Caenorhabditis elegans: one gene and its partners. The protein of the gene in region 1 purifies or fractionates together with the protein of each later gene. This does not show direct contact. Each region holds a gene or a part of one and is shown in the gene's direction. Other genes may lie near its edges. The genes, in order: lgg-2, epg-2 and atg-13.

What was found.
Region 2: the proteins of lgg-2 (region 1) and epg-2 purify together in Caenorhabditis elegans (affinity purification with western blotting, with the first as the bait; one study listed by BioGRID). This does not show direct contact.
Region 3: the proteins of lgg-2 (region 1) and atg-13 purify together in Caenorhabditis elegans (affinity purification with western blotting, with the first as the bait; one study listed by BioGRID). This does not show direct contact.

Annotation. Positions count from the first base shown.
Region 1 is NC_003282.8:10,933,376-10,937,853, reverse strand, and holds lgg-2 (Protein lgg-2), read left to right. Parts: upstream 1-1,950; 5' UTR 1,951-1,992; coding exon 1,993-2,098; intron 2,099-2,716; coding exon 2,717-2,885; intron 2,886-2,936; coding exon 2,937-3,090; 3' UTR 3,091-3,658; downstream 3,659-4,478. Other genes in the region: Protein adenylyltransferase fic-1, read right to left, coding at 1-57, 122-259, 304-382; lsm-7 (U6 snRNA-associated Sm-like protein LSm7), read right to left, coding at 3,744-3,849, 3,938-4,046, 4,174-4,267, 4,322-4,327. UniProt on the Caenorhabditis elegans protein: Ubiquitin-like modifier involved in the formation of autophagosomal vacuoles (autophagosomes). When lipidated mediates tethering between adjacent membranes and stimulates membrane fusion. Less effective at promoting membrane fusion than lgg-1.
Region 2 is NC_003279.8:2,291,781-2,302,752, forward strand, and holds the start of epg-2 (Ectopic P granules protein 2), read left to right. Parts: upstream 1-8,305; 5' UTR 8,306-8,332; coding exon 8,333-8,389; intron 8,390-8,684; coding exon 8,685-8,786; intron 8,787-8,939; coding exon 8,940-10,853; 3' UTR 10,854-10,972. Other genes in the region: Y39G10AR.11 (TPR_MLP1_2 domain-containing protein), read left to right, coding at 1,437-3,431, 4,450-4,821; tpxl-1 (TPX2 domain-containing protein), read right to left, coding at 6,037-6,139. UniProt on the Caenorhabditis elegans protein: Involved in autophagy. Thought to act as an adapter protein that brings PGL granules to autophagic structures containing lgg-1.
Region 3 is NC_003281.10:8,150,107-8,161,078, reverse strand, and holds atg-13 (Autophagy-related protein 13 homolog), read left to right. Parts: upstream 1-2,888; 5' UTR 2,889-2,910; coding exon 2,911-2,985; intron 2,986-3,472; coding exon 3,473-3,987; intron 3,988-4,039; coding exon 4,040-4,199; intron 4,200-4,251; coding exon 4,252-4,462; intron 4,463-4,505; coding exon 4,506-4,663; intron 4,664-4,707; coding exon 4,708-4,845; intron 4,846-4,928; coding exon 4,929-5,003; 3' UTR 5,004-5,132; downstream 5,133-10,972. Other genes in the region: inpp-5K (Inositol polyphosphate 5-phosphatase), read left to right, coding at 1-31, 100-311, 425-522, 572-822, 871-1,020, 1,461-1,661; D2007.1 (uncharacterized protein), read right to left, coding at 5,137-5,220, 5,307-5,416, 5,465-5,606; D2007.2 (Major sperm protein), read right to left, coding at 6,569-6,751, 7,262-7,359, 7,468-7,595, 8,217-8,280, 8,497-8,638. UniProt on the Caenorhabditis elegans protein: Component of the unc-51/atg-13 complex required for autophagosome formation. Required for the degradation of germ cell specific P-granule components such as sepa-1 by autophagy in somatic cells.

The DNA of each region.
Region 1 (4,478 bases):
TAAACCCAATGTTGAGACGATTAGAAGGTGGTGGTGATGACTTTTGTTTTGGAGAATCTGAATGCTGATTTTTTATTTCAAGAAATAAGCGAAAATATTAATATTTATTTTTGCGACTCACTTTTTATTACAGTGTGCAGCGTAGAGACTGCATATGGTACAAAATGTTGGCAGATTAGTGATACTAAAACTGAGATAATGATGACTGTGGTTAGTGAATAACCTTGTGGTGGGGCCGATTTCGGATCTTCTTGAACTACTGAAAATTATATGTTTTTATTTGGAAAATAATCAAAAATGTACCATTTAATTTGGAAGGTCTTCGGGTTTTTTCCAAAAGATAGGAGAAATCATCGGAATGAGTTCGTCTTCGAACTGACATCACATTATTTAAAACTATCTGCAAAAAAACAAATTTTCCAGAACTTATTCATGCATTTGAAGCGAAAACAAGAAAAAAGATCTGCAAATTAATTTTGAGCATGATTCCACCTTTCGCTTCGAGACCAGAGTAAAAAAACGTTAATGCGCCTTTGAGTTACGGTAGTACTGATTAATGGTTTGAACACCAAATGCATTTTTTTTCGATTTTGGCATGTTTTCCTTCTTTTTTTTCAAGTTATATCCGAAAAACCTAATTTAAAAAACTGAATAATCTTTTATCTAAATATTAACCATATAAATATCGACATTCCACTCGATTTCACAAGAAATTTCTTCATCTTTGAAGTTCGTACGCGGAAAATGCTATTAAAGAAAAGAAAATAAACGAGACGCAGACAAATGCACACGGCGTGCGCAGTAACATATCGATTTTGAGACGTAAACATAATTGAGTTCACTAGTCATGAGAGTCTGTTTACTCGTACATCGATTTTTCACTTTTCTTTCTTTCCCCTCATCACTTATTGTTTTGCTCTTTCCATAGTTTCGTCCTCATCTCAAAACTTCTTTCGAAATTATTTAGATACCCGCATTTTCAACAACGGAAAATCTAAGGAAACCCTTAAAATGTCAAAAAAATATCGCAGATTGCCAATTTTTGCTGTGAAATCTTGATCATATTTCATCACTTCTCCCTTTTTCGAAAATCGCGTCAAAGATCTAAAGTTCCGAGAAAAAAGTTTGCAGAAAAAAACGTCAGTTGTTCTGATTGGGAGTAGTAGATTCAGACTGGAAGTTCTAGAGATCATCTGGTTCCCCTGCCCTTTATCTCTCCCTGCCACTATTTTCAAAGTACAAGCACTTTTTTTACGTAGACCGATATAAAAGAGTTGGCTGGTATAGATAAAATCTTTAGTTTTCCGTTAATTTAAACGGCCCATTTTAATATTAGAAATTTTCATTCATAAAACCAAGCATTTTCACACTAGAACATTAGTTGAGAAGTTTTCTAGGAAGTATTCAATTAAAACGTTTTCTCCTATAACTTTCTTAGTGTCGCCAACAAGTCTCGCTGTCATATTTATTTAATTCGTTGCCACTCATCGTTTCAAATTTCGCTATCATTTCATCTGTCTGACACTGCTTCGAACTTCTGTATTAGCTGGGAGAAGGGTCATAATACACACTCTCATCTTCTCTAACTCTATTCTTTCTTTTCCCCATCTATTCCTTCATCACATGATTCTTCTCTTCTCATCGTCTCTCCGTCTCGCGGTCATGTGTCCTCGACGCTCAGTCGATCTTGTGGTGTGAGAAAAGAGAGTAGCATCAATGAAGAGACACAGAGGACAAAGAGACATACAGCAAAAGAGCGTGTGTGCTGCCTACTGCCTCTGTCTCGATTTTTCCCTCTGTCCCATTCCCTTTCACCTGTCTTTTCGCTTCTTGATAAAAAAATTCTCACAAAAACATACAGTGTCCTTTAGCATCTCACACTCTAATTTCTCTTCTAAAATCAGTTTTCTCAACTTTTCAAATACCAGTTACCATTTTTCAAGTTTGCAGATCGAAAATCGGGTCTCAGCACGAAAAAGTGAAGAAGCGTTTATGCTAGCCACGCTTCAAAGTTACACACAAACAGCGATGAGCGGAAATCGGGGAGGATCTTACATTTCCGGAATCGTTCCATCGTTCAAGGAAAGAAGGCCATTCCGTAAGTTTTTTAAAATTCATTTACTAATCAAACAATTGTCATCAAAATAAAAATAGAGCTTCAAGTCTCACTTTAATTTTACTTTAACATCAAACATCTGGTTTTCATCCCAACCAATTCATTCCCAATCATTCCCACTTTTTTTTCCTTCACCCGTCCATTGTAAAAGGTCAGAGACGCAGAGGACAGACACCCCGCGTCATGCGTTTCAGCGAGAGAGCATGAGGAAACAAGAGACAATATGCAAGTGAGACATGTGAAAATCAGCTGATCTTGTGTGAATGAGTGACTATGTCAGTGGAGCAGCACCCATGGAACATTGCGTATTAATTGGGTGCTCTTCGTTGTATGAAAGAAAGAGATAGATGGACCTGAGAAACAAAGATCAATAGGGCAGGTGCAAGGGAAATAGGATTATAGGAAAATTTGGATCAATATTGATATTCTAGAGTTCAAAATATTGCCCACCATTCAAGATAACAACCAAAACTGAACGTACGCCAATCTTTAAATAGAAATATGAATTTTACGAGTGGAAAAGAGAAATCCAGAACTGAGGAACAACTTTTTTATTTTCAAATTTTCGAAAGAAAACCTTTTTAACCTATTCGATTTCAGATGAGCGTCAGAAAGATGTGGAAGAAATCCGCAGCCAACAACCGAACAAGGTTCCGGTAATTATCGAAAGATTTGATGGAGAACGCAGTTTACCACTTATGGATCGCTGCAAATTCCTAGTACCCGAGCATATAACCGTTGCCGAGCTCATGTCAATTGTTAGACGACGGTGAGCTATTCAACTGAGTTGTTTTTTCAAAATCATCCGTTTGCTTTTCAGCCTCCAACTTCATCCACAACAAGCATTCTTCCTGCTCGTCAATGAACGCTCAATGGTGTCAAATTCTATGAGCATGTCCAATTTGTACAGTCAAGAGCGTGATCCAGATGGCTTTGTGTATATGGTTTACACGTCTCAACCAGCATTTGGATAACACATCAAGAGCCGTTTTCCATCACAATTCTAATCAATTTTTAAATTTCCACCAACACCACTGATTGCCCAATGCAATCCTCACTGTAAAATGTTGTATTTTTAAATGTAAATACCTGAAAACCCATCATACTCAGGCGCCAACCATTTTTCTAGTTGCCTTTGCTAATTTCGCCCCTCGCAATTCCCCACCTCAAAACTTCCAGCTGAAATTTGTTTTACAAACGAAAAAAAAGAAACCCAAATTCGCTTACGTTTTCGTGTAGTCTTTATGTGTTCCCTCATAACTCTTTCTCCGCATTTTCCAGCCCGTTTCTTGAATTTCTTCATGTCTTCTTTTCACAACTGATCCTCTTTCAACAAAATTTAAACCGTTTACGATTCTGTGTACTTGGCTAGTCTCTAAAGCCCATAGGGACTATTTTCCTTACTGCCCTGAACATTGAAATTTACCGCTATGGACTTTCTGACTGCCTAGACGGATTCAATTCAAAATTATTACATCTTGTTCCATCGTTACTTTTCCAAATTCAATGTATCAAATGTTTTGTATGTAATAACAACTTTTTCGTCGTTTTTATCTGGAGAATGTTCATTCACAAGGAGATCACATACATATATAATAATAATAAGAGATGATGATGATATCAACGATTATTCTTCTTCCTGGGTTGCGAATGGATTGGCGATTTGCTCGAGTCCATCTGCTGGGCTAACTACTGTAATTGCTGTTCCGCGAGCCACAATAAGACCCAGTTGTCTTAAGATAAAAGATAAGATAAAATCGAAAATCTAGATTTAATTTGAAATCCAAGCTTTAAATCGATTTTTGGAAATCTATCAATTACCTTGTCTCATCACCGACGACCGAAGGATTTTGTGGATCACGGAGATACTCGCGGCAGTCATCAAGAACCATATTGAGCAACTGATCGAATCCTCGAAGCACGCCACTTGCTGAAATTTATACATTTTTATGGAGTGAAGTACAGCTTGTGTATGTTGGACGCTTTCATATTGTTTAAATAGTTTAATGACGGAATCTTATTGCTAGTGCACATCATTGTGCAAAAAAAAAACCAACCTTCACGTCCTCCTTGGAACTTGACGCGAATCTCTTTGTCGAGAAATCTGGTGAGATCAACGACAGACTCCTTCTTTCGTTTTCCTTCGTCTTTCTAAAATAATACAACAATTATAAATAACTTATTCATTGTATTTTTAAAACATACCGACATTTCTCTGTGTTGAGTTGTGGTGAGTCTGAAATAATTCCGAAATTTTGAATGAAATTATCGATTACGAATGAAATAAATTAAGCTGACAAAATCTTATTGATTTAGAATTTTTTTAAACGGTATTTTTAATTGATAAATTATGATTTAAAAT
Region 2 (10,972 bases), on another chromosome or scaffold:
TTTCGGCAAATTGTCGATTTGCCAGAAATTTCAATTCCGGCAAATTGTCGGTTAGCTGATTCGGAATTTTTCATTTTCGGTAAATTGCCGATTTTTTGCCAGAAATTCCGATTCCGGCAATTTGTCGGTTTGCTCCGATTCCGACAAATCATTGTCGGAATTTTTCAATTCCGTCAATTTGCCGATTTTTGTCTGAAATTTTCAATTTGTCAATTCTGGAAGCTTGCCAATTTGCCGGAATTTGTCATTTTTGGCAAATTGCCGATTTGCCAGAAATTTCTATTCCGGCAATTTGCCGATTTGCCGGAATTTGTCATTTTCGGCAAACTGCCGATTTGCCAGAAATTTCTATTCCGGCAATTTGCCAATTTGCCGGAATTTGTCATTTTTGGCAAATTGCCGATTTGACAGAAATTTCTATTCCGACAATTTGCCGGAAATTTCAATTCCTCCAATCTGCCGATTTTTTGCCAGAAATTTCAATTCCGGCAATTTGCCGGTTTGCCGATTTGTCGGAATTTTTCAATTCCGGCAATGTGCCGATTTGCCAGAAATTGTAATTCCGGCATTTTGCCGGTTTGTCGATTTGTCGGAATTTTTCAATTCTGGCATTTTGCCAATTTGCCGGAACTTTTCAATTCCGGCGATTTGCCGCTTACCCCTGAGAAAATCTTGGCCATTCTTCAGCAATTTTTGCCGATTTTTCGAGTAACGAAAACTCTATGGGGGCTCCGGCATTTTGCCTATTTACCGGAAATTTTCAATTCCGGCAATTGGATTCCACCCAGACAGCTCCACAACAGGAAAACCTTTCGGCAAACGTTGGAAAAAAAAACTATTCATTGAAGTAGTTGGATTATCAAAAAGTTGAATAATCGTACTTCAAAAGCCCTCAGACTTCGGCCAAACTGTAGTTGTTTCCCAAACTATTACAGTTTTCCAATTTCCAATTTCCCGTTCAATTGTTATCTCTTCCCGGTTTCCTGCTCACTTTTCCAACAATTCTACAGATTCCATCTCGGTCCCCCGGACGATAGAAATCTATAGTATTTTCCGACGAGTGTTCTCCAATCTATAGTGTGCACAGCAGAGAACGTTCGAAGGGTGTAGCGAGAGAATAGAGAGAATAAAGAGACGGAAAGAGACCAGGACACCTTCCGTGGACCCCCGCCACACTTCTCTATCGATTTCTATTTGGGTGTCTGCGTATTCGTGTGCGTACGCACGTGACTCTTATGCTTCTTCTTGCCCCTTACTTGCCTATTTCTCTTTTCTTCTCAACTTTTTTTTTCTTTTTTCCTTTTTTCCTTTTTCCCAAGCTTCCATCATTTACGAACTTCCCCTATTTCAGGTAGAAAACTCAACGCTTCACACTCTTTACACTGCCCCGTCTCCTTGGCAGTTGAAGAGCATCATCCTATCCGCAGATCTCCAAAATGTCTCAGCAGCAGGAACTTCCCACCTATCAGCAGACTAGCAGCTCACTTGAGCGTCGAGTGACCGAGCTTCAGGATGAGAATAAGAGTCTTCGACTGACGTTGGCTCTTCGCACTGACTGTGAGCACGAGCTAGAACGAGTTCGCAATGAGACGCATCCGGGAGTTGAGGAGCTCGAGAAGAAGCTCGCCAGTGCTGAGAACGAGATTCGAGTCATGGAATCTACGAATAAGGAATTGATGGCGACGTTGGCTACAACTCGTGATCAGCTCGGGAAGATGCTTCGCGAACGGAATCAGTTGGTGAAGGACGTCGATGAGTTGCACGAGGAAATTGAGAAAATGGAGAGCCTCTACAATAAGCCGGCCGACTACGCCTCAAACAGTTATACCGACAACATGAAGTTGATGCTTGACGAGCTGAACGATCAGTGTCGTAAGTGGGAAACTGAGAAGGCCAAGTTGACCGAGCACTTCAAAGAGGCTGAAACTCAGCTCAGAAGAGAGAATGTTAAGCTAGAGGCTCAGAAGGAGGATATCTTGAACCATACGAAGAACTCTGAGAAGATGTGGAACGAACGTCTTGAGAACATCACCGCCGACTTTGAACGACTCAAATCTTCATCGAAACCAAGTGGAATTCGTGCCGACCAGAAAATGTTCCAGGAGAATGAGATGAAGATTCAGGAATTGAACAGAAAACTCAAAGATGCTCTTGAAGCTATTGAGGAAATTGAAGACGCCAATTCGGCTCTCCGCGTTGATCTCGAAAGAAGAGGAGTCGAGAAGTGCAAGATGGAAGAAGAGCTCAACTTCCACAAGGGCTTCTTGATCGCCGAGCAACAGAGCTTTCTCTTAGACTGTGCCAACTTCGAGAACCAAATTGCCAACCTCAATAAGGAGATGACAGAGCTGGAGGAGCTCCGTGACGCCTACAAGCAACAGATCGGCGAAATCACCGAGAAACACGCCCAGCAAACGATGACATTCTCGAATGAGAAGGCCAAGTTCTGTCATGCCATGGAGCGCGTCGAGGAGAAATGGAATGCTGAATGTGTCAAACTTCGTGATGAAATTGGTGGATTGCAGAAAATGTTGTTCCAATCAACCAAGGAAACGATGGACAAGCGGGAGATTTTCGACGAGGAATCTCGTGAATGTCGCCGCAAAATCGACGAGCTCGAGGGCCTGTTGGCAACGCAACAAGCAGCGGCGCAACGACAGATTACTCGACTCCTGGCCGAGATTGATGATCTCAATGTCCAATTGAGTGATACCAAATCAGTCCAGGCGAACGCAGTGAAGGAGTGGGATGTCGAGTGTGCTGAGCTGGAAGAGGAGATCTACGAGTTGATCGGCAAACGGAAGACTGAAGGAAAAAAGTTGAGAACCATGCAGAGAAAGAATACCTGGCTTACCGCGTCGATTAGACGGCTCTCCGAGCAACGCCGTGAAGAGCTTGCTGCCAAGAAAGATGAGATTTTAAAGCTTAATAGTCTCTGTGAGCTTCAACGTATGGAAAAAGTCGAGTGGCTCAGTGACTTGAAGAAGGATGTGAATGCATGGAAGAATGAAACTTCCGTCCGAATCGAATTGAAACAGAAGATCACAGATCTTGAGGAGCAAAACGAAGGTCTCGAGGAGAAGGTCGAGAACGTGCTTGCCCAGTACAGAAGCGAGTGCGAACTGTACCAGAACAGTGTATCAAGCCTTCAAATGGATCGTGACAGGCTCAGAAAAGATGTTGATTTGTACAAAGGAAAGGCCGAGATACTGTTCACAAAGTTCGGAGATCTCGTCAAAACCAACGACGAATTGGAGAAGAAGGCGCATCAGAAGATGCTGGAGGCAGACAACTTGCGGAAGACAGTCGAGTTCTCGAACATGGAAATGACAAATGTGAAAGCGCTCATGGCGATGGAGCGGGAGCAAATCCTCGAAGAACGACACTCAACGGTTAGAGATCTTGAGGAGAAGCTCAAAAATTTGACAATGGTAAGTGCTTTTTTTTTTGCTTTTTGAACACACACACACGTGGTGCCAAGCTGTCCCATTACGGATTGATCTACAAAAAATGTGGGAATTGTTTCCCAAAAAAAAGTGACGTCAGCACGTTCTTAACCATGTGTCAGTTGAGAAGTCTGCGTCTCAACTCCCGCATTTTTTGTAGATCTACGTAGATCAAACCGAAATGGGACACTCTGACAGCGTGGTTTGATCTTCGAGAAATGCGGGAGAAGAGACGCAGACTTTTCAACTGATTTCGCATGGCTCACGCTCTCGTTAAAGCCGAATAATTATTAGAGCGCGCTTCGCATTTCTGCATCCGCGGTATTTTGACTTTCCACTGAAAAAAGCAGATATTTCAGATTTATCGAATTTTTATCTTTAAAAATTTTTTTCTGCATTTTTCGAACAAACCTTTTGTTAAACAGTTAAAATCGAATTTAAAATGACTAAAATGAACTTTTTTCGTCCACTGGTTGTGAAATGGTTTGAATTTGAAGAAATCAACGGGATTTTTCTTATTTTCTAAATATTTTTCTATTAAAAATCGGTTTTAATACATTTGTGACTTAACATTAGGGTCAAAAAATGGTTTAAAACCGATTTTTAATAGAAATATATTTAGAAAATAAGAAAAATCCCGTTGATTTCTTCAAATTCAAACCATTTCACAACCAGTGGACGAAAAAAGTTCAAAAGTATCATTTTAAATTCGATTTTCACTGTTTAACAAAAGGTTTGTTCGTAAAATGCAGAAAAAAAAATTTTAAAAGCTAAAAATTCGATAAATCTGAAATATCTGCTTTTTTCAGTGGAAAGTCAAAATGCCACGGATGCAGAAACGCCAAGCGCAGCAAGCGCGCTCTAATAATTATTCGGCCTTGAGGAGAGCGTGTGGCTAAGTGTTTGATGACGTCACATTTTACTGGGAGAAAAATTCCCGCATTTTTTGTAGATCAAACCGCAACGATTGCTTCAAAATCTCTAATTTTCTTCTCTCTTCCAGACCTCATCTATCAACAAAAATCTTCTCGCCGAGGCACGTCGTTCGATCGCCCGGCTCACCGAAGATGCCAAAGAACAATCCGAGGCTCAAGAGTTCGATCGTCTACGCTGGAACGATCAGGTAGATCAACTGAAGGAAGTCAACGAGGAGCTCAAGAAGAATCTGGGCGTCGAGGTGTTGGAATCATCCGATGATTCGGATTGTTCCAGTGACTCCTCGAGTGATTCGGACTGCTCATCGGATTCTTCTGATTCTGAAGAAGATGAAGAGTACCGTGATATGCCAAAACTGAAAGACGAGACAACCGCCGAGAACTCGTGGGAGCTGGTTGGAGAGGAGGAGGAAGAAGCAGAGCAGCAGCAGAATAACTGATAAAATGTAAATAAATGCACAAATTGAATGTAATTACAAATGTGTGTACCAGAGGTGGGCGGATATTTTTTCGGATATTTTCTAATAATGAATTTATCAATAAGTATTGATGTAGTTATTCTGGAAGAAATGTATCCAAACCAAAGAGTAACTATTAAGCAACATTTTAATATGATAAAACCTAGAAAAATTCAACAAGTTTTCCTTACCGAGACCTTAAAACTTATTAGCCGAGCAACATCGGATTTTACGGATATCGGATAATGGACTTGCATATCGTTTATACAGAAAATTTGTAGAATTTTTCTAGGTTTTATCATATTAAAATGTTGCTTAATAGTTACTCTTTTGTTCGGATACATTTCTTCCACAATAACTACATCAATACTTATTGATAAATTCATTATTAGAAAATATCCGAAAAAAATATCCGCCCACCTCTGGTGTGTACCAACTTCTATAGTCGTACTGATCGCAAATTAGTTTTTTATTGTTTCAAAAACATGTACAATTGTACAATTTCCCCCTTTTATTCCCCCCCCCAATCAAAAAATTTCATTTCCTTCTTATTTTTTTGTTTTGTGAATTTTAAAAAATTCAAAAATTTGTAGTCCCCCTCCAAAAACCCCTCTGATTCTCACCGCCGAATATTTTTCCTAATTTCTTTTCGCTTTTTTTTTCTCTTTTTTCCCTAAAATTTCAAGATAAACGATGATTTCAATTCAAATAACAAACTTGGCTCAGAAGAAACCTTTCGCAAAATTCAGACAAAAAGAGGGAAATCTACAAGAAATGTTCATTGCGGGCGGGCGGGCGGGCGGGCGGGTGGAGGAGACACAACAATAAGGATGTGAATTTCACTGGATTGAATGATAAAGAAAAGGTATAATAATAATAAGAATAAATCTGTGTGTGTGTGTGTGGGCTTCCGGTTTTTTTTGTAAACATGTGTGTGTGGGGGCCGGTCTATTATACAGAATTAGTCAGAAATAATGAACACTAGTAGATCAGTGCGCGCGCGCGAAAAGGTGAACGGGAAAAGATAGCTCAACAAAAACTATGGATATGAAGAAGAGAAAAAATACGGTATAAGGGGGTGGGATGAGACAAAAAAATCAATGAGAATCATCATAAATATTTTTTTTAAAATTAATTTTCGCGGTGAAGATGAAGCTGGTCCCATTGGAATACGACAACGATCATATGTACATTCGTTTACTGCTTCGATTGTGGAGTAGAAGCTGCTGCTGGTGGCTTCTGAGTCGAACGATCCTTTGATGGAGCACGAATTCCGTGAAGACCTCCGGCAGATGGCATTCTGGAAAATTTTTAATTAGTAATTAGTAAATTTGAAAAAAGAATTGTTTAGAATATTTTGGTATTTTTTTTCCAAATTTTTTACAATTAGCATTGCCAATCTTAAAAGTTCAAAAATGTATGCTTTTTATTCGAAATTATTTTTTGTACCAGATCAGGGGTGGGTGGCAATTGGTTTGTCGTCAAATTAGGCAATTTGCCGGTTTGTCGAAAAAATCTTTTCACAACTCTAGGTTTTCATGTAGGCACAAAATGCCTACTAGGTGCCAATCGAATGCCAATCGAAAAATTGCCGGAATGAAAATTTCTGGAAAATCGGCACATTGCCGTCATATCGACAACTTGCCGAAAACGAAAATTTTCGGGAAATCGGCGAACCGGAAATTTGTCGGAATTGTGTTTTCGTTTTCGATTTTCAGAAAAATAGCATTTTTTGCAAAAATGGCTCAAGTTTTAGCCATTTTTTTTTAGAAAAGATGTTGTTTTCTGATATTTTTCTTCCGTCATTAGTAACAAAACTTGATGAAAAATTGAATTTTATCATTACATCTCTATAGATTTTTAAAAAACTTTCTATGAAAAAAATCGAAGAATCTTATCTACTCCAGCCAGTCATTTTAGACTATATTTTTATCATTTTAAGACAACAAAAATAATTTTACAATTCTAGGTTTTCATGTAGTCAGATAAATGTTTCATCGCCTATCGATAGGCATCTTCGAGGCATATTATGCCTGCCTTGTAGGCACCTAATTTTGCCCTACAAAACTACTGATTACATTCCTTATTAGCTCGAAATCCTATAACTTTTCCTAACTTCCCACTTTTAAGGGTGGTGTAGTCGAATTTTTTTTATTGCTTTATCAGGCTCATAATTGTCTGAAAACACCGAATTTCATAATGAAACTTCTTGAAAACTTTTCAGAAAAAAGTTATGACGGCTCAAAAAATGGCCTAAAATTAGTTAAAATCGGAAATTTGACCAACTTATCAATGTCGCAGCAGCTGGAAACAATTTTTTTTTGAAATCACCGCCAAATTTTGAGTATACAAGTTAATTATCTTACGTTTTAAACTTGATTAAGGTATTAAAAAATCTTTGATTTTTAATTTTTTTAACCAAAACTCGCCGTCCATCGATTTTTAAATACTCGTTTAAAACGCGAGGTAATCGACTTGTATACTCAAAATTTGGCGGTAATATCAAAAAAAATTATTTCCAGCCACTGCGACATTGACAAGTCGGTCAAATTTCCGATTTTAACTAATTTTAGGCCATTTTTAGAGCCGTCATAACTTTTTTCTGAAAAGTTTTCAAGAAGTTTCATTGTGAAACTCGGTGTTTTGAGAGAATATCGAGTCTAATAAGACAATAAAAAAATTCGACTACACCACCTTTAAAATTTGAATTTCTGTAATGTAATGCTCTAAATCTTCCAGATTGTCATATATATCCATTGTTTTCTCGACATCAAAGACCACCAAAAAGTCATTCAATACTATTTCCACTTCACCTGTTCACCCCTTCCCCAATCTTAACATCATCTTCTGACCCTTAACGTGACCCCGACTTTCCCAAATCTCCCTCTTCTGCTCACACAACGCTATTTCCAGAGAGCAAACACAGAGCAGCCCCGCCCTAGTGGCGCATCTAACCAAACGCGCAGTCCTCCACAACTATCCACATTGTAACCTTGGCCTGTACATTACATCAGTCGGACCATTCTCTCTCTCTCGCTTTTTACCGTGGCCCATCTCTCGGTGGCTAGACGCTGCCAATATGCAGAGAGCAAGAGAGCGCAGAGCATTATGCAGAGGCTGTCTCTTTTGCTCTCGTCGAGCTATCCAAACCGTTGCCATTTCTCCCTCTTTCACTCCCCGAGACCACCCATATCTCTCGTCTCTCTCTCTCTCTCTCTTTTTCACTCTCTTTCATATTATTCATTCCTCTCTTCTCGGGTTCTTCATTCAATTCTCAGTCATTAGCTACTACCACACAATGCCTAACAACTGAATTATATATTCTACCTGATCGCCGTTTTCCTCTCACAGCCTCGCAAGCTTTCTTTCTCCTTCTTCGAATATTTTTTATGGTGACCTTGTCATTCGTCTCACTATTAATTTTTGTGTGTGTAACACATCTCTCAATAATCGATATTTTTTGCAGATCTCAATTTCAACAGCTTTCAAAAGAATGAGTGCCAACAGAACTGTCACAGTTTTTTCATCGTCAGCAGAGGATCAAGAGCCGGTAAGTATTTGAGCTGTTCTAGATTCTGTTGAGACACAAAAAATCCATTTTCACACGTGGTGCCAGAGTCTGTCTCATCACGGTTTGATCTACAAAAAACGCGGGAATTTTTTGCACAAAAATATGTTCTTAACCATGCGAAATCAGTTGAGAACTCTGTGTCTCTTCTCCCGCATTTTTTTGTAGATTTATGTAGATCAAGCCGAAATGAGACACTCTGACACCACGTGTTTTCAATGAATTCTGGAGTTTTGAAAATAGTTGAATGTGCCATGAACAAGTGTTTATATTTTAGATCGAATTGGCTGAAGACTCACTTCAAAACTTGGACAAAATGCTGGCTGAGGAAAAAGAAGAACACCAGTTGTTGAAGGACGAAGTTGTGCTTCTCAGAAAGGTGAGCAACTTATTCAATTCACTATTTAGAGAATTGAGAAAATCAATTCAATTAATGAAATTAATTAACTTAATATAACTAATAATAGAATTAATGGAACTTAATTAATTAGTAAATTGCAATTTTTCAAGCTATAAACCTATTATTTTTCAGGAAAACGTGGAAGCCAAGACCTACTCCACATTATTGGAGATCATGCTTGACGAAGCCGAAGAAAAAGCATCGTCCGCTCAAGAAACGACCTCCGAAGAAAACAATCTCAAAATTTTGAACCGAGATCTTGTGGCCGAAAACTTGGAATTGAAAGAGATGAAAGAGGAGCTCAGAAAGATCTGGTTGAGCGACTCGAAAAAATTTCAAGAAGCTCTTACGCGGATCTCAGATGAGAATACAAAACTTCAAAAAGATTGTCACGAGTTGGAATCGATTCGGCAATGTGCCCAGTTTGCATTGGATAACTGTAACGAGGAGCTCGAGAAAACCCAAACGGAAAACGAAGAGCACGAGAGCCGCATTGAGACGCTGGAACGTGAAGTTTGTGAAAAAGATATTGCCATGAAAGATATTGTTGAGCGGAAAGACGAGATTTCGCTTCAACTGGAATTGCAGACAAAGGAGTTCACATCTGCATTGAATGATCTGATGTATGGAAGAGAAGACACCTTGAAGCAGATCCATCAAATGAAGGAAAACTGGAAGGTCAAGCAGAATGAATTTGAAGTTGAAATTACAAAGTTGAAGAGTCAAAATGACTACTTTGACTCTGAACGATTGCAATTGACTGACCGAATTAGAGCTTTGCTCAACGAGTTGTCCGATGTTCGCCTGGAACTTGGCTCTACTCGTTTGGCAATGAAGGAAAAAGCTGAAGTTACAGAAGCGGTGACCAGTTTCAACAAAGATCTTCGCGATAAGTTGGAAGATGAAATTGCAAGACTCGGTGAATGCTTACAGTTCAGAAAGGACGAACACGAACAGGATGAAGCAGTCATTGCTCATCTTGAAGAACAACTCAAACTTGGCAGTGATAAAGCTGCTGCGTTTTCCAGCGAGCACAGTGACACGATTGAGTTGCTCCGTGAGTCTGAAACCGAACTGATGGAGCTCAGAATGGAGAATTACGATCTGAAGGAGGACTTCAAAATTTTGAAGGAGGAGAAAGAAGATGTCAATCGCACATGTGAATGTCTCCGCGAACAATTGAGCACAACAATTCAGGAGCGGGACATCGAAAAAGGCCAGATGCAGAGTGAGATGGATGCAAAAATGGTTGCTGTGCATCAACAGTACGCCAAGCAAATTGATAATATGAAGTACAATCATATGTTGGCAATTAATCAGGAGTTGATCAAAGGACAAATGGCTCTGGAATCTGGGAAGAAGAAGCACGCCAATGAGATTTTGACGGTACGAAACGAACTAGAGCAATCCAATGCTGCTCATCAAAGCTTGAGAGACCAGTGCAGTTTGCTTTTGAGCTCCGAAGATGATCTCAGAACCGCACATTTGGCTTTAGAAAGCAAAATGACTCTCGTTTCTGAAGAATGTATTGCACTCAGAGTGTCTCGAGCTAATGCTCAGAAAGAAATTGGAAATTTGACTGAACATCACAAACTTGAAGTAGCACTCTTGGAAGATGCGAAATCCGGAATCCAACAACGTCTCCATTACGCCACTATTGAAATCGAGCAGCTAAAAAAGATCAATGAGGTTACTCAAGCCCAGTTTAAGAAGGAAACAGATGAGAAAAATGCCGAGATTAACGAATTCCAAGCTGCAATGGTATCAATGAAACAGCAATACAATGTTCTTGGCAATCATTGTCGCGTTCTGACATCTCAAGGAATCTCGGATCGTACCACAATTGACAAACTCCAGGAAACCATTCGCGAGCACACAGAACTTGCAATCGAAACGAAGAGAATTCACGATGCAGAGATTGTTCAGTTGAATGATGCTCATAAGAAGTTGGTGGATAATTTGGGAGTTGAAGAACTCGACGAGGAGCCGAAAGCATCAACGGAATCGGAAGAGAAGGCTGAATGGGAGATGGTCGACGAAGAATAACAATTTTGATTAATTTCTTGTTCGTTTTTGTTTCTAAATTGCACACTTTACTGTACATTGCAAATTGTTTTTGTCTTTCATGCCCGCCTAAATTGTTCTCAATTTGTTATTACAATTTT
Region 3 (10,972 bases), on another chromosome or scaffold:
GATTTTCGGAAGGAAACAACTTATTGGGCAGGTGAGCTAACATAAAATGGGCGTAGTTTATTTTTCGAACATTTTCACTCGAATTATCCAATCTTTCAGATAAAACGAATCGATTATCGCTTCCAAAGAAACACAATGGGTGGGTTAACAGGACATAAAGGATCAATTGGTGTACGTCTTCAACTTGCAAGCCCCTACTCAATAGTATTCGTTGATAGTCACTTCATACATGGCCCCGAGAATTACGGGAAGCGCGTTGAACAGTATCATACCAATAGAAATTGCTCGTTTCCAGAGGATAAGAGTGTCAGGTAATTGGATCCGCGAAAAATGAAAATAGTTCGATAAATGTTGTGCTACGAGTCGTGGAACTTGAGATCCTTCATAATTTCCATAATAAGATGACCTTTTTTTATTGTTTCAGAGCAGCATTCTGGTTTGGTGACTTCAACTTTCGCGTAGAAGAGGATGTGAATACAGTCATTAGAAAAATCAAAAATGGAACTCATCTAGAACTACTCGGTAATATAAATATTTCCAACGACGTGGACTCATTCCTCACAGCTTCCAGATACACGTGAACAATTGAAAAGAGCATTAGTTGAGCGTGATGCATTCATTGGCTTTCACGAACAACCGGTTACATTTGAACCAACTTATCGGGTTACTGTAGGCACTACAGAGCAGGATGGAAAACGCGTTCCATCGTGGACTGATAGAATATTGTACAAAGGAGATGGAATTACTGGATTGTCATATACTAACAATAAAAAAGCAGTGGCAAGTGATCACCTACCTGTAGTTGCAATGTTTAGAGTTACTGTACGTAAATGAATTAATATATTAATCGATTGATCAATGTTATTGCAGGCACCCGCTGCACCAAAACCACAATGGGAAGTAATTTTTGAGCATCTACCCACTTGGTACACATCAATTCCATTAGTTGGAAGATTCCAAGTGAATGAATTATATTACAAAGAAAATGGAAGTTATCGTGATTGGATTGGAGTTTTTCCGGTAATACATTATTATTAATAGTCAGACAGAAAATATTTTGGAATTTTCGTGGCGAAAATATGATATCTGGTCTCGACGCGGCAAATTTGTTAAATGCAAAGAGATATGAGCAGAATTTTTGCTGATGCGGAATTTTCATTGATTTTTTATTGTTTTTTTTTTAAATATAACAGTATATTTGTTAATTTTTTTTAAAAATCGTGTAAAAACTATTTTAAAAAACGTATTAAAGGAAGAAAATTCCCCAACAGCGAAAATTCGAAGTTACAGTTCTCTTTAAAGGCGCTCGCCTCTTGGTATTCAACAAAGATTTGTCGTGCCGAGACCGGGTAACATATTCTTGGCACGAAAATCACAAAATTTTGTGGTTAACTCGCGTATTGGTTTTATTGATTGGACACTACACCCATTATTTTTATAAAATTATTGATTCATTTCAGTCCAGCATCAACGACTGTACCACTGCCACAAATTGGATCTATGCTGCCACTTGTTTTGAGCAAGTAATTGAAGGTAGCAAATTTCTGGCTTGTGAATTCAATAATATTCCTGCTGGAAACTACCGTCTTGGATATTTTTCTTGTCATCTTCATTGTCTTGTTGGATTGTCAAAAGTCTTTCAAATAGTTGAACAACCATAGCTGTATTATAATATATTATACCGTATATCTTCTATTAATATGGCCTCCCTATTAGACTTGCACTCACTATTAGTATTTCCCCTCGGAGACCTTCCGAAAATTAGTATGGTACTCCCTATTAGTGTTACACTCCCTAATAGTCTTGCGTTTACTTCTTTGGTGCAAACCCTCTTTAGTAATTTAAAGATTTTTATAACACTTATTGCTTATTTTGCAACAGTTTTTCACAACAGTTCTACGAGATTAAACGTTTTTGAACTTATATGTTACAATTAAAATCAAGTTTTCTGAATTTTCACATAAGATTCGAGCTTTTTCAGAAAAAAAACTAGTAAGCTCAAAGTCAGAAAAATGTTCTGAAAATTAGTATTGCACTCCCTAATAGTCTTGCACTCCCTATTAGTATTGCAAGCGGGAAGACCATCGAGAAATAGTATTGCAGCCATATTAATAGAAGAAATACGGTAGATTTCATATGTATTTTTTGTACAAAAAATCGATATTTTAACCTCGGTACCGGAGGATTTAATTTACTTGCCAAAACTCGTAACACTTAATTGTGATTTAGTCAAACATATACTATAGTCCGGTCCATATCTGTGCCAAACATATTAACTAGTGTACAATATTATTAATAAAGTGATTTATTTCAAACTTTATTCATATTATGGATTCAAAATTAGCAGTTTTTCGTTTCCACAGTTTTACCTATTCTTTAAAATAAACTACCTTCAAAACAAATTGTGAACATAATTTTTCCGAGCCATTCCCAGTGAGGCCACATCTGTGTATTGCACCCAAAAATCCTAGTCCTCGAGTTCTCGGCCATCACGTGAAGCAGGCGCACCCAGCACTCCACAGTTATTGATTCAAGAACCGATGACAATTGTGCACATTGAGCATCTTTACACTTTTAAAAATTGCTATCAAACATTGTTAAAATAGCCAGCTGCTCAATATGTACTGCCGTTCTTGCACCTTTTATCCTTGAACTCTCCAGTAGAGCAGCAATTTCAAAAACTCGCTCTCAATGCAGGATTATTTCAGTTTTCAAAAGTATTAACTAGGATTTTTTCTTCTAACTCCATTTAAAACACTCTTCAACCATTCTATTTTCACCAAATTCTTCAACATCTCACTTTCTCTCTACCACCTCTCCAGTTTATTGTATCACTCATCTCGTCTCTTTTACGCTCATGTGACTACTACCATCGTCTTGTTTTTCAGATCAATAATATATTATTTAAACATGGTAAATGAGTACGACACGTACAACAAATGGCTCAAATTCTTCTCGGTGCGAATGGTTCAATCTATAATTCAGGTATTTATAATTTTTTTTTTAATTAAGAGTATTAATGCTCCGAAACTCATTTGTTTTATTGAAAATCCGAATTTATTGGCGCCATTGTATGTAAAAAATAATTTAGTAAAATTAAGTAAAATTCAAACAGGTCTGAGACTTTAATGGGTACTGTAGTTTCAAAATTTCGTTGAGCTTAAATATTCATCGATTTTTCATAGTTTTCGTATGAAAATCTATTAATTTATCGAAAAAAAAAACTAAAATGAAACATGTGAAATTTCTGAAAAATCAATGAAATCTTTTGAAGTAAAGACATAAATTCCGCAGCACCGATCAAAGTTGGAAACTACAGTACTCTTTCAAGGCGCGAACATTCTCGCATTTAACAAAAAATTTGTCGAGACCGGGTACAGTATTTGTGGCTCAAAAAATAAAAATTTCGCATACAATAGTTACCAAACAATAAAAACAAATCAAAATTTCCTAATATTCCATAAATTTTCAGTCTCGCCTCGGCGATGAAATTGAATCAAAATGTGTACCGTACTCGGAAAACGCAGTCGACTGGTTCAATATGCGAATTGACGAACTCGGTGAAATCTCAGCTTATCTTAAATCCAACATCAAAAGTTATCCACCTGTCGGAACTCTTACTCTCGAATTTCTACTCTATACACCCAGTGGACAACTATTACCACTTGAAGCGTGGATTCTTAGCTCATCAGAAGGAACTGATGATTGTTCAAGAAATGAACTTTATCATGATATGAGCACATTGCTTCGATCAGCAATTGTATCAGCCAGAATGACTCCAATGCATCGATTGTATGTGAAAAAGCAGCACTTGGAGACTTTTGTAATTATGTATAGAGTTTTTGAAAATGATATTTCATCTGATATGGGAAAAGGAAAGAAAACTAGAAAAATTGGAGAACTTGTATCAAAATTTGGAAATATCAGTCTTGACCTACATTACCGAACATCAATGCATTTCGAGGAACCAGAGATTGCTCCAGTAACGTAAGGGATTAAATAGAATAATTTCCGATTTTAAATAATTATTAAATTTCAGACCTGTTGAAGATGTAGAAGAGGAAATTGATGACGGGGAAAAGACAGTTGTAGATGAAAATATTCAAACAAGAACTGTCTCAGAATGTGTTCCAATTGCTGATGCTAAAAAAAGAAAAGCAAGTGGAAGTGTTGAATCTGCTACAAGTGCTGGAAGTTCTGTAAGTTTTCAAAAAAATTTTATGCAAAGTCAAACGAATTAAAAAATTTAAGACCTCCCGAGAAGCTGCTCCTAGATTTATTCTTGGACAATCAACATCAAGTGAAGACTCTCGACATTCAGATGTTCAAAATTCTTATGAAGAAGATCACAAACCATCTCTAGCAGATCTACGAAATCATTCATTCCCATTCGTGAATCTACTACAGTCGGCATACAATCCAGCAAATGGAACCAAGAAAAACTCTTCTTCTACTTGTCTCAGTAAGAATATAAAAATAATTCAAATATTTATTATTAAATCTAGATTCTCCAAAATCAACTCCAGAAGACAAAGAGCCAACGATAGAAAAGGTTGCTGAGAGCTTCCGTGCCGCTAAAATCGACGAAGTTGTATTTGAAGAAGATGAAGATGAAGAGTTGCCACTTGATTCAATGGAGCTGAGTGAAGATTCATTTGTTCATGTAAGCCTTAGTTAATCAACGAGTCGTTAATTATTTCATTTCAGTTTAATCAGCTATCAGATTTCGGTGGTGCGCCAAGTCTTGGTAATGAGCTGGGAGACTATCTGAAGCAGCTGAAAACTGCTCCCGATATGACAGAATCCGGTGATATTGATATTTGTAACATGGACTTGAAAACAGAGGTGAGTTTGGAAATAAATAGCTAATGGCATTTAAACCAAAAACTATAACTAATTAACAAATTCAAATTTCAATCAAATTTCAGCTCGAAAAAATAAGTTCTCAAACTGCCAACTTCAACAATTTCCTGAAACACGTCAATTCGTTCTCCGATGAGTGACTTTTTTATTGAAAATTTACAATCTCCCATATTGTATACATCGCATGTACACTTTTCACACGTTTACACTCGTTTCACAATTTTTTGTGCACATATTGTTTTTTGAATATTCATAAATGTATAGTTATATAAATTATCGGGAACACTTTCCATTGCGACATTGCTCAGAAGTCTTGCAACATGCATTTCCACATTGGTCCCGAGTAACTGGACAGTTCTGAAACTTTTGAAAGTTTATGGGTTTCTCTGTGCAGTTTGAAAAACGTATACAATAAGTTTTTAATTATCTTTGAACTTGTTTACCGATAGTCTTGGGAAGCAGCGGTTTCGAAGACATGTCTGATCAAAGTTACAACATTCATAAGCAGAACATTGTGATGCTTGTACTCCACACCGGCTCGTGGAAGCGGAAGCTGGAATGTAAATCCAAAGATCATTTGAACAAAGAACTAAAAAAAAACCTTTTGAATAACTAGGTGTTGGAGTACTTGTTGGTTTTTTCTTGCCAAAAGAAAAGATTGATGAGAAAATATTGTTGGAAGCGGCGGATTCTGTTGACACCACAAGCACCAAAATTACAAGAATCAACGATAAGATCTTCATTCTAAAAATATTTTTTTGGAATATAAAAATAAAATGTGTTATGGGTTTGACAATTATTCAACAGAGACTTCAACGAAGAAGAAAGAGAAACAGAGAACGAGAGAAGAATGAGCAAGTGATTAATGTCAGGTGATAGAGGATTAGAAGCTCCCCTAGAACGCAGGCAAATCGTGTTGAGACCAGTGTTTCAATATTAATCATCTTAGCGAGAGATATATAACTTATAATAAGTAGGGATTACTCTTAAAATTAATTTTTTGTTTGACCGCAAATCGCTACCTTGGGTCCTGGCACGATCGAAATTTTTTCTCTACCGTGCCCTCGTGTATTTATTATACAAATCTCAAAAAATAAGCTATGTAAGAAAATAGCTACAATACTTGAGGGTACTGTAGCTGAAATGTTTCGCTCGTGACAGGATCCTGTGATCAGGTCCTGACGATAGGAACCTTTAAAATGAGCAAAATTTCAACTTGAAACAGGGGTTGGTAGTTTTTTTTTAAATTATGTAATTTCAAAAAACCGTTTCTGTAGAGTTTTCAAACAAAATGAAATTTCATGGAAAGAATCAGTTAAGAACTGAAAAATTCAACTTACTAATCGATTTTTATCAATACAAATGTTCAAATAATCAAGTATTCTGGCCTAGTTTCGAAGATAACACAATTTTCAAAAAATGACGAATTGACATAAAAAATTTGGAAACTAATTTTGTGACAATCCTTTGTTCAAATGGCAAGTGATTCATGATGCAGTTTAACAAGAAAATATCTTTGATCATTTGAGCAAATAAAACGTTCGTTTTATTGCGATTTTCTGACATTTTTTTTGTGATTTTGCAGTTTTTGTGATGTCATTTCATATTGTTTTATTATGTTTTTATCAAAGAAAATAAGAAAAAAGGCATAAAAAGAATGAAAGTTGGTAGTTTTGTTTGTCTGCATGTACATATTTGTGTTTCTTTACTCCTGATGATGATGATTCTGATTGTCATTTGTTGCCTCAAGGGCCATATTGATTGAAGCTGGTGCACGTGTATTCGCGTTCTTTTTGAAAATTTCGCGAGCTTCCTTATTGCCATCTGCTTCGAGAATATTGACACAGAGACGATCACGTTTGATTAGGTCACTGGTAATTCGGGCGATCTGTAATCAAATGTTCAAGTGGGTTGTGGGGTGGGTATGGTATACGTGTTCTATTTTTGTATTTAACAGGCTTTGAAGATTTCAATTTTGCTATTTTCTGAAACGATGACTTTCGACTAGAAACTCCACGCAACCTGGACTTTTTTGGTGGTGGTCTTTTGGCATATTTTGGCAATTTGACTTTCTTTTGGTACTTTGGTATTTTCACTGATTTTGGAATTTTTTGTTTTTTTTTTCAGACATGCGCGACTAAAAGAGAAGCAGACTTCAAAAATGTAAAAAAAAACGTTTCAGGAAGCTACAAAAATGCAATAACAGAGAGAACAATAGAAAATACTTTTATATTTCCGATATCCATATTTTAAATTTAAGCTAATTTATCTAGCTTCTAATTTTCCAAAAGTTTAGAAATTTTTAATCTAAAACCTGAAACCTGAAAACCTAAAACCTTAGTTCAATCGGGATTGAAATAAAAATGTTCAAAAATTGAAATTTTGTGTTAAAACTTACATGAAGTGGAAGACTTTGTCCAGGCTCAACAGTTGCATATACAGGTGTCACTCTGTACATATTGTTGTCACTGCATGTGATTTTTACTGCTATCCGATCTGAAATATTTGTATTAGTTTTTTGACATTTTTTCCCAATTTTTGCTTGCTCATTTGAAATTACAACCTAAATCGAGTTACTCAAAACCATAGCTCAAAAAAACTCACTATCAGAATGATTCATAAGGGTGTGTGTTGAGAGTCCTCCTTCGATTGAAAAACGGGCGACACGTGGAATTACAGTAACCCCAGCAGCAATGTGGCAGCAGCATGTGCATCCTGGCTGGCGTTCTGATCTGAAAGTTATAGATTTATTTTGCTGTTTTTCTACATATTGTATTGTATGTTATTTTTCATGTATTTTCCAGTTTATTTTCAAAACTAAGCTAAACTACTATTCCATTTCATGTTGTATTTTTCTTATGTTTCTTAGTAAACAATGATAATCATACCTAAAACTGTCAAGTACAGAACGTGGCCTGTCAACTGAAAAACTTGGAATCCGACAAGCTGGTCTCACATTATAGATATTCATCAGAAATTGTTTTTAGAATTCAGGAACAAAATAGAAGAAATAGTTTCCTTTTTTCGTATAAAAACGGAATAAGAGGCCTCTCGTCTCTCAATTCAGTTTGTAGCGACAATTTAAAACATGAAAATTGCTCGCCGAGCTCTGGTCTTTTCCGGAGAAAATGTTGGATGTTTGAAAAATTCTAAGGTAATAATAGTATATAATTGGAGAAAAAAATACGTTTTTATGATGAGAATTTAATGTTTGTGGTCTACATTTTTGAATTCGTTGAGGAAGAAATTTTGAAGATTATCCAATTGTGAGAACTTTAAAAAATCTGTTTTGTTTTTTCATTTATTTCAAGATTTGAAGTAACTCTTGAAAAAAATTAAGTGTGAAATCTTACCTTCCTGAGCTTCTGCTTGATCTAGCCGACCGCATTAGGTACTCCATATCCGAGAGAGCAATAGCTGAAAATCCAATATTAATAATATTGTAAAAGGTAGAGTTGAACCAGTGGGGAAATAATCGAGGCAACTCTTTTCGAAAACTTTCTGAAGTTGTTCTCCTCGAAAAGTGACTTTTTGGTGAGATAAGCTTGTTGAAAATTTGAGTCAGCTTTTTATATTCTGGGCGAGCCCGGCACTTTGTGAATTGTATCAAATTAAGCCTCGAAAAATGCTTACCTATCATTGGTTCTGGAGCACTAATCTGTTGTTGTGTCTGTCTTCCAGTTTGTCTTCCAGGTGTCAATCGAGCCGTCCCAAAAGGACGAAGAGCAGCTGAACTTGAAGAAGCCATTGATGATGAGCGGATGTCTTTGAAGTTCTGAAATAAAATGAAATATTGAAGAAGAAAAAGATTGAAAGGAGTTGGTTGGGGTTGTTCTGCAGATGACACTTCTATGGAAACGTCACATTTTGAAACGGGAGGTCGGAAAGAAGAGGTCAATGATGTATCCATGGGAGATGTATATGTTGAATGGCGTTTTAATGGAGTTTTTACACTTCTCTATTTTTAAACGTTGACCGATTCTTACAAGAATCAACATGCAACTTTTATAAGAAAGCCTGTCATATTTCCTTAATTTTCCCTTCTTAATAAAATTTGTGAAGAATATCTGAACATTTTAGAGAGATAAAGGTTAGTGAAGTCTCCATACAGTTTAAAAGCGCCCTGTAGAACCCCAATCGAGTGGAATGTCTAAAGACAAAAGAGTTTTCCCATCTACCATGGTTTTGCCTCTGGAGCAAGATTATCAGGTACGGTGATTATCCGAATTTGTACTACAGAACAATGTCACTTCCAAAAAATGAAGCTGTCCGAGATATAGAGCTCAAACGAAAAAGAGACACTGTAACTTTTTTAAGATGTGAAATTTTTCGGTTCCAATGTTCAAACTCAAGCTATAGCATGTTTTAACCAAAAAAAAAGTGTGTTAGAACAATATTTCATGGCAACGGAAGACTTCAAGCTCACTTATACAAGAAAAAGGAGCAGCACATTAAAAAAGGAGAGAAAGTGCTCCGAATGTTCACTCCGGAAATTGCTGGGAGCAGCAGCAGTCGGTAAAAAAATGAAGGCGTTTTGGGAACGAACAAAGAAAAAAGAATGAGCGAGGGAGGTGAAGGGTACAATTAAAGTACGAAAATGTAAGATGAAATTGGTTTGGTCTTTATGAAAATAGATGTTTGACATTTGCAAAAAAATAATGGCATTTCTCAAAAATGAAGAACCAGAAAATGAGTTTTGAAACAACGGAAAACTTCAATAAGAGGAATTGAATTTGTACTATTTAGATACCCGGTAAATTGATAAATTAACAGTTGATACCTAAAGTTTATTTTTAAAATAAAAATGATTTCCAAAAATTAAAAATTCATTAAAGGTATATTTAGGGTATTAGATTTCTCGGTTCTTATTTTAAAGTTATCAGTTTTTGAAACTGCATAAGGAATATATCTCTTTATTGGCCAAAAAAAGTAAGTTGGTCAGAAATTCCGAAACAAAAAATTTTGTCTAATTAGACCTATCTTAATTTTTAATATCTTCAAATTTTTTCTCAAACTAAAAAAATTCAAGTCTTCCAGTGTTTACACCTTTGTGAGAGTCACCGAAAGTGCTCCAAAAAGAGCCCAAAAAAGAAAGTTTTGTGCTCATCGAACATCATCATCATTTCTAGTTGAGAGAGAGAGAAAGGTCCGAATGAGTAGAAAAAAGCGAGAGAAGAGCAGCAGTACATTCATAATAGACATAATATAATTGCTCAGCGGCTCGAAAAATGACGGCGGTGACTAGGGCACGACCACAAAGGATAGAAGATTGTTGTGTATGTATGTGTAGATGTGTGTGGACGGGATTGTTGGGTCAACCAATGTGGGGGTGGCATGAAGTTTATAGAAAGTTTAGAAGATATTTTCATGCTTTTTATTATATTCAGGTTGTCTTAATTGCATTTTTGAAATACTCATGAAGATCGAAGCTGTGAAGTTGTTTCTATACGAAGGTCAAAAAGTTGTACCACGAATAAAATTCACGGTTTATAATTTGAAATCTTGATTTTCAGATTCTCAACTGTCTAGAAACTATGGAAACAGTAAAAACTTATTTTTGCAACTTTGGAGCAATCCGGAAGTTTTGCAAAACTTGCAACTAAAACTAATTTTCCAAAACCAGAACAATTGCAAACTGGAAAAAATTACAAAAAAAAACAAAGATCAACTTTTTCAAAACCGAAACCCAAAAAATGAAAACCAGTGTCCCTTCAAAAAAGTTTTGAAAATTCGCGGTGCCCCCCGCTCCCAGTGACAAGGGAATTTAAAATGCGAGTGTGGGAGGAGGAATGAAAAGAAAATGAAGAAGAAAAGATCAGACAAGTTATGACTCATTTTATTCAATTTTAATTACAAAAGTGCACATTTTATTTAAAGCTATCAAACGGGAAATATATTGAATAAAGTGCAGCTATAGAATATGTGATTTGGATTAGATTAATTCAAAAACTTGGAGTCTTTTGACGTCCTAACTGTCTTTTGACTTGGAGAACTTTGGAGTCAGAAAATTTTAGATTTTGGTTATAACAACTTCAGTAAATTATATAAAAACTCCAAATTATCATTGAAAGGTCTACTTTTTCTGTTACCAGACAGGGGAAACATGGTG